Linked DNA regions of Macaca fascicularis. The protein of the gene in region 1 interacts with the protein of each later gene in a pairwise test. Links are inferred from orthologs where the notes say so. Each region holds a gene or a part of one and is shown on either strand. Other genes may lie near its edges.

Region 1 (4,177 bases):
GGTACCCTTGTTCACTATTAATAGAAATGTAAAATGCTATAGTTGCTATGGAAAACAGTATGGCGGTTGCTCGAAAAATTAAAAACAGAATTGTCGTATGATACAGCAATTCCAATTCTGGGTGTATATCCAAAAGAATTGAATGCAGGGACTTGATCAGAAATTTCCATACCAATGCTCATAGCAACATTATTCACAATAGGCAAAAGGTAGATGCAACCCAAGTGTCCATCAACAAATGAATGGATAAACAAAATGTGGTATACACATACAATGGATTATTCAGTCTTAAAAAGGAAGAAAATTCTGACACATGCTGCAACACGGATGAACCTGGAAGACATTATACTAAGAGAAATAAACCAGTCACAAAAAGACAATTATTATATGATTCCACTTACATGAGGTACTGAGAGTAGTCAAATTTATAGAGACAGAAAGTAGAATGGTGGTTGACAAGCTGATCTCAAAATTCATAAGAATTTTAGGCCGGGCACGGTGGCTCAAGCCTGTAATCCCAGCACTTTGGGAGGCCGAGACGGGCGGATCATGAGGTCAGGAGATCGAGACCATCCTGGCTAACACGGTGAAACCCCGTCTCTACTAAAAAATACAAAAAACTAGCCGGGCGAAGTGGCGGGTGCCTGTAGTCCCAGCTACTTGGGAGGCTGAGGCAGGAGAATGGCGTGAACCCGAGAGGAGGAGCTTGCAGTGAGCTGAGATCCGGCCACTGCACTCCAGCCTGGGTGACAGAGCAAGACTCCGTCTCAAAAAAAAAAAAAAAAAAAAAGAATTTTAGAGGGCAAGGGGGAGTTGCTTAATGAGTACAGAGTTTCAGTTTTGCAAGATGAAAAGGGTTCTGGAGAATGGCTGCACAATGTGAACATACTTAACACAAGGGAACTATACACCTAAAAATGATTAAGACAGTAAATTGTATGTTATGTGTGTTTTACCACAATAAAAAACACAACGAGATAAGATAACACTTCAAACCCACTAAAATGACTATAACCAAAAAGACAAATAATGAAAAATGTCAGCAAGGAGGTGGAAAAACTGGATCCCTCTATCCCTCTTTTTTTTTTTTTTTTTTTTTGAGACGGAGTCTCGCTCTCTCGCCCAGGCTGGAGTTCTGTGGTGTGATCTCGGCTCACTGCAAGCTCCACCTCCCGGGTTCACACCATTCTCCTGCCTCAACCTCCCGAGTAGCTGGAACTACAGGCACCCGCCACCACACCCAGCTAATTTTTGTATTTTTAGTAGAGACGGGGTTTCACGGTGTTAGCCAGGATGGTCTTGATCTCCTGGCCTCGTGATCCGCCTGCCTTGGCCTCCCAAAGTGCTGGGATTACAGGCATGAGTCACCACCAACTGGATCCCTCTTATACTGCTAGTGGGAATGTAAAATGGTACAGCCATTTTGGAAAACAATCTGGTAGTTCATCAAAAGTTTAGAGTTATCACATGGCCCAGCAATTTCATTCTTAGGTACAAACCTAAGAAAAATAAAAACATAAAAATCTGTACATGAGTATTTATAGCAGGATTATTCATAATAGCCAAAAGGTGGAAGCAATGAAAACGTTCATCAATAGATGAATGCACAAACAAAATATGGTATAGCCATACAATGGGATATTATTCAGTCATAAAAATGTATGAAGTACAAATACATGCAACAACATGGATGAACTTTGAAAACATGGGGCTAAGTGAAAGCAGTCAGTAAACCACACATTGTATGATTTTATTTACATAAAATGTCCTCATTAGGCAAAACCATAGAGACCAAAAGTAGATTAGCGGTTACCTAGGGCTGAGGGTGAGGGAGGGAAGGGGATGGGAGGAAATGGAGAGTGTTTGTGAATGGGCGTGGTTTCTTTTTGAGGTGGTGAAAATATTCTAAAATTAACTAACCGTGGTGATAGGTGCACAACAACTCTGGGAAATACTAAAAACTATTGAATTGCATACTTGAAATGGGTGAATTGCATGGTATGTAAATTATATCTAAATAAAGGTATTTATATATACATAAACACATACATACATATATAGATACATATATATATAAAGAGGAAGAGAGATTTACAATAAACTTTCTTCTCACCTTTCCATATAAGTAATCACCAAAATGCAAGTATTTGCCCAAGGTAAATGTTCTCAAAAGTGTTTCAAGCCTCAAGACAATTTCCATATTAAGTAAGTAACAGACCTTCATTTAAACATTAGAAAATTACCCCCCAAAAAAGCACTTCTGAAGGCTTATAGTCAACTGAGTTCTCCACTACTGGGTGGCTCCACTACTTTGCTGCAAAGGGAAGGAAAAGAGAACTCGTGTGTGCCCAGGACCTTATGTATGTTATTTTGTTTACTATTCACAACAACACTTAGAGGTGGGTATTACTATTATCATTTAACAGATGAGAAAACTGAAGCCTGGAGAGGTTAATAAATATTAATAATATATAACATTACTAATAAATAATAAATGTTTAAACTTGAGCACATATTTTTCCATTGGTTTCTAAAATTTTTTTCCCCTAAATTAGGTGTGAACATCCAAAAATAGATTTTTATATGTTTAGCAAGGGTTAAGACTACTTTTTTATCTATATAATACATTGGTTAAAATGAAGAATTATCAAAACTTGTCATAAACAGAATTATTTTTATACTAACCTGAGCGTCTGTTATTTCAGCCATAGACTCCCTGTTGATATTTGCTATGTCTCTGAAGAGTCTATCAATTGCCTCTGGTATGTTAGGTGAATTATCACTTGCAACCAGGTTTTCAACAACTTCTGAAATAACAATGGATGATAAATGTGCTGTGAACTATTACCATTGGCTAAAAGTAGCAAATCATTTTTAAACCTATTCCTAAATCATTGGCCAAATGAATATAGCATGAAGGAACTTGATCCTTAGAGTAAAACCAAACTGGAGATTTAAAGTTTATTTAAGCAAGAGTATAATTTTCAAATAAAATTTGCATTCTTTGGGAGTCACTTGTTTATAACTTAATCATTATTCATTCTCAGAAAGGAAAATGCATTGACTTCACTAATAGTAAAGTTATTAGGTAATATTAAAAGTACAAAACAGGCCAAGCATGGTGGCACACATCTTTAGTCCTAGCTAGTCCAAAGGCTGAGTTGGGAGGATCACTTGAGTCCAGGAGTTCAAGAATACGGTGAGCTATGATCCTGCCACTGTACTCCATCCAGCAAGGGCTACAGAGTGAGACCCTTTCTCTAAAACAAACAAAAAAAACCCTACAAAACTGAACTTAACAGTGTCTTCAAAACTAGAAAATGTAGAAAATCTGAAAGATCTGGATATGTGCCCTGTAAAACTGAAAAACTTATTAATATTTTCAAGCATTAGACAGACATAGCAAACTGCTGGCTCTGAAGTCTTGACCTTACTTTGTGAGAAAAAAAAAAAATGACATGCTCAATTAGCAACAACATTAACCAGCTATTGAATCTGCACAAATGATGTCACCATTTTCTAAATGGTCTCAGCTCCAGACTCCACATAGCTGAATCTTACTAGGCCATGGAATTCCTTAAAACCCAAGCATTAGCTGTGCACAATGTTCCACGCCTGTAGTACCAACTACTCAGGTGGCTGTGGCAGGAGGATCCCTTGAGCCCAGGAGTTTGAAACAGGCTGGGCAACATAGCAAGACACCATTTAAAAAAAACAAAAAACAAAAACAAACAAAAAAAAACACTAAAACTAGGTCAGGCGCAGTGGCTCATGCTTGTAATCCCAGCACGTTGGGAGGCTGAGGCAGGCGGATCACTTCAGACCAGGAATTCGAGACCAGCCTAGTCAACATGGCAAAACCCCATCTCTATTAAAAATACAAAAATTAGCTGGGTGTGATGTGCTCGCCTGTAATCCCAGCTACTGGGGTGGCTGAGGCATAAGAATTGTTTGAGCCTGGAGGTTGAGGTTGTAGTTAGCTCAGATCGTGCCACTGAATTCCAGCCTGGACAACAGAGCAAGACTGTGTCTCAAAAAAAAAAAAAAAAAAAAAAAAAAAAACCCTAAAACTAAACAATAAGCATGATGTAGAATCTCAATTGATGCCTTTCATATTATCAAAAAAATTTTTTCAAACTCATGTGACATAAGTGTCCATAAGCTACATAGTTCTAAT
Region 2 (3,516 bases), on another chromosome or scaffold:
CCACGCTCCTCCCTGCCAAAATGGCGAAAAACTGATAGCACCAGGGCACTAGGAGAGAAGGACAAGCACAAAGCCAGACAGGGCTGGGAAAAGGCCAAGTTAGCCCAAAACTGGGAGTGCTAAACACCCCAGGCATGGAGAGAGAACACTGGAGGAGAGGGCAGCAGCCCTGGGAGGCCAGGAGAGCTGGAGCTGCTGCTGGGGGGAGGGGCCTCTGTACCTGAGTGGGCGGGTCTGTACTTGCAACAGGTATCGTGAAGAGATGCTCCGAGACTCTGACCTCTCTGGCACCTGCACTGGGGCCCCTACCAGGGTCAGAGAAATCATGAATTGGGGCAGAAATCAAGCCCTTGACACAGATTTTGCCTCCCTGAGACCCCCAGCCACTGCCTATACCCTGGGACCCTCCTCTCAGGTAAGCAAGGAGGGGAGAAGGGCAAATTGCAGGCACTAAATGCTGGCCCTCTGACCACACCTGGAGCAGCTCCATTGGCCAGAGTCTCAAAGTGCTGTTTCAGAAACTGCTCCTGGTCTGGAGTCCGGGGGCTGCCCTCCTGCAGCCCATAGGGGCCCATGCCTCCCTCCTCTTCCTCCTCTTCTTCATCACCCTCAGCTGGCTCTTCAAGGTCTGAAGAGATGCCATCCACACTGAGGGGCTCCGTGCTCTCAGAGTCTGGGTGTGGGGAGGGGAGAGAGGCACTGCACTGCACCCATCTGTTGCCAGAGCCTCCCCACTCACCTCCAGGCCCCACCCACCATGACCCCTCCCTCCAGGCTGCAGCCTCACCTTCAGTGGGGTGCTCGGGGCTGGAAAGGCAGCTGCTGCTGTAGTCCACAGAGCAGGCACTGTCAGGGCTGTGCTTTTCTGAGCTCCTGCTGCCTGGGTACACTCTTCCCAGAGTTCCCCGGGCTGGAGCCTGCACCTGGAACTCACTGCCAGGATTCCAGCAGGGAGAAGAAAAGGCAGTGAGCAGAGGTGGGCAGCAGCCCTGCTGGACTCTTGCCTGTGATCAGGGTGAGGGATGAGGCAGTGGTGAGCTAGAAGGAAAGCCCTGAGTATCCTGGGGGCCAACCCTCCCTCAACTAAAGAACACTCACAGGGAGGGGAAGACGGGGGTGCTGCACAGCCCACGAGGTCTGGCCAGGGCAGGATCCTTACCTGGTATCCATGGTGGGGCTGTCACTCGGCTCCGGGTAGACAATACCATCTTCAACGGGTGCAGGTTCCAGATCTTGGGCAAAGACCCCTTCCTCTTGTGACAATAATCGGATAATACGGGGACAGGAACAGGGTTGGGAAGCCTGAGGCCGAGGGGACTTTTCATTCTGGGAACAGGCAAAGGGACGTTACCAGAGCAGCTGGCGTGAGAAGAGGTGGCGGATGAGGCAGTGGTAGCTGGTGGTTAAGCCCTGAGTATCCTGGGGGCCAACCCTCCCCATGGAGAAGAGGTGGAGGTGAGTAAAGATGTGCTGTGCACTAATTCTAGGGGGAGTTGAAGGACAGACACCAAGAAGCCAGGCTGGGCTCCAGCTGCTGATGTGAGCTTCTGGATGAACTGTATTAGCACTCTGGGCCGCCAACCTCCAGCTACCACTTAATACCAAGAGTCCTCCAAGAAACCCAGCCCAGGACAAAGGCCACTTTTGCCTCTCTACCCCAACCCCTCCCCTGCCTACCCTGATGACCAAACCATACGGCCCAGCCAGCCTCATCCTGGCTTTGCAGTTCAGGTTACCCATGTGCCACAGGGGCAGAGCAAGCATAGCTGGACCAGTGCTCAGGTCCCAGCTGGTGGCAAAGGCTGCCTAAGGCCCCTTGGAGCTCTCTGGAGAGCTGGGAGAAAGCGGGCTCACCTGGCTAGTGAGTGAAGTTTCAAGGGCCTGCTGCCCATGCTTCCTGGGACCAGATGAGATGGTGGCCAGCGAGTCCTGGCTAGGGCCCCGTGGGCTTGGAGCCAGTGTTTCCAGCTGCCGTAGGTCCAGCATGGATCGAACGCTCAGCTCCACACCTGGCTGAGCCCAGCGCCCCCTTCTTCTGGGTCCTGGGTTGGCTGCAGGAGCTGGGTCCAGGAACCCCACGGACTCCTGTGCCTGGTGGGAGGCAGGGTGTGGGGGAGGAGTAACAACCACCACACAGTAAGATCAACAAATATCCACATATCCCTTACTATGTGCCTGGCACACTACACATATTAGCTTACTTCATCCTCACAGCAACCTTTTGAAACAGGCACTAGTATAATCCTTGTTTTACAGATGAGGAGACTGAAGCGCAGGGGGCTTAAGTGACCAGGCCGCATCCCACAGGCAGGAAGTGGCCTGCAGGTTAGTCTGGCTCCAGAGTTCATGCTCTTAGCTGCACTCCACATCCTCGGGCACATGAACCTCTAGTCTCAGCCTTCACCTGGTATCATGGACGCCTCAGAGGTCTCTCAAAGTCTCCTGCTCTGAGGACGGCCCCACCAGCAACCACTTACGACCAAGAGTCCTCCAAGAAACCCAGCCCAGGGCAAAGGCCACTTCTGCCTGTCTACCCCAACCACTCCTTTTGCCTCTCTACCTCACTTTTGCCTCTCTACCCTAATCGCTCCAATGGCTGGGGGCCCCAAAGTCCCTTCACACCACCAAGGACAAACCTATAGCCCAGGCCTGAGACCCCTGGACGGTCAGGATGCTCCAGAGACATCACAGCATCATCACTCTGTGAAACTGTTGCTGACAACGGAAGGTACTGGTGCCTGGGGACTTGCTCTGAACCTTGATCCCCCTCTGGCCACCCCAGAGCAGTCACTCAGTTATGGGTCCCCTCATGGCCTTTTCCCTCTAACTATTCTGGAAGTTCTCTGCTTACCTCCTAACCGGGGTCTTTAGAACTACTGTTTCTCCAGATCTCCGCTCTTTGGATCCTTGATTTCCTGCACTTTAGTTCTATCTGGCTTAGAGGCCCTTTGACCTCTCCACCTTGAGCTGTTCTCTGATGATATTTACTTCCAGGCACCAGGCAGCTGAATAAGTGCCACACCTCCCCAGGGCTGACTAACTCTGTGTTCCATCCACCTCATCTGGTCCACAAGAAGGAAATACCTGGGCTTTCTTCACCCCCGTACCCAGGACTGGCCCAGCTGCTTCAACTTCCCTGACAAGGCCTTCCTTGGATACAGGAGTGCAGCATGTGGGCAGACCCCATGCCCCAATACCCCTACCAGGTCCAGAAAGCCCCGTTCTCACACCTTCCTTTGCCTCCTCTAACCTTGGAAGAACATTTTAACAATGGCGACTCACCCGACTCATCTCCCAGTGGGACAGGCTTCGGGGCAAGGCAGGGCTGGGGACCGAGGCTAGACAGAAACAGGCAGTCAGGGCAGGTGTCTCCTGCCCACCCACCCCTGGAGCCCTGGCCCCATCAACCCATACCGTGTGTGGCCACAATGATGCCTCAGTTTCCTCAGCTCACACCGCTCTCACCCCAGAGTCCCAGAAAAACCATATCTAGCCATTATACCAACGAGGGACTAT

Evidence for each region.
Region 2: the proteins of TEX11 (region 1) and MAPKBP1 interact in binary tests that used the Homo sapiens proteins (3 or more experiments, as listed by UniProt). The two-hybrid records come from large-scale screens. The link is inferred for Macaca fascicularis from reciprocal best matches to the Homo sapiens genes TEX11 and MAPKBP1.

Annotation. Positions count from the first base shown.
Region 1 is NC_088395.1:77,572,360-77,576,536, forward strand, and holds the start of TEX11 (testis-expressed protein 11), read right to left. Parts: upstream 2,815-4,177; 5' UTR 2,710-2,814; coding exon 2,686-2,709; intron 1-2,685. UniProt on the Homo sapiens protein: Regulator of crossing-over during meiosis. Involved in initiation and/or maintenance of chromosome synapsis and formation of crossovers.
Region 2 is NC_088381.1:18,410,501-18,414,016, reverse strand, and holds part of MAPKBP1 (mitogen-activated protein kinase-binding protein 1), read right to left. Parts: intron 3,339-3,516; coding exon 3,283-3,338; intron 2,092-3,282; coding exon 1,855-2,091; intron 1,327-1,854; coding exon 1,161-1,326; coding exon of another isoform or gene 1,160-1,160; intron 947-1,159; coding exon 788-946; intron 674-787; coding exon 476-673; intron 306-475; coding exon 221-305; intron 1-220. UniProt on the Homo sapiens protein: Negative regulator of NOD2 function. It down-regulates NOD2-induced processes such as activation of NF-kappa-B signaling, IL8 secretion and antibacterial response. Involved in JNK signaling pathway.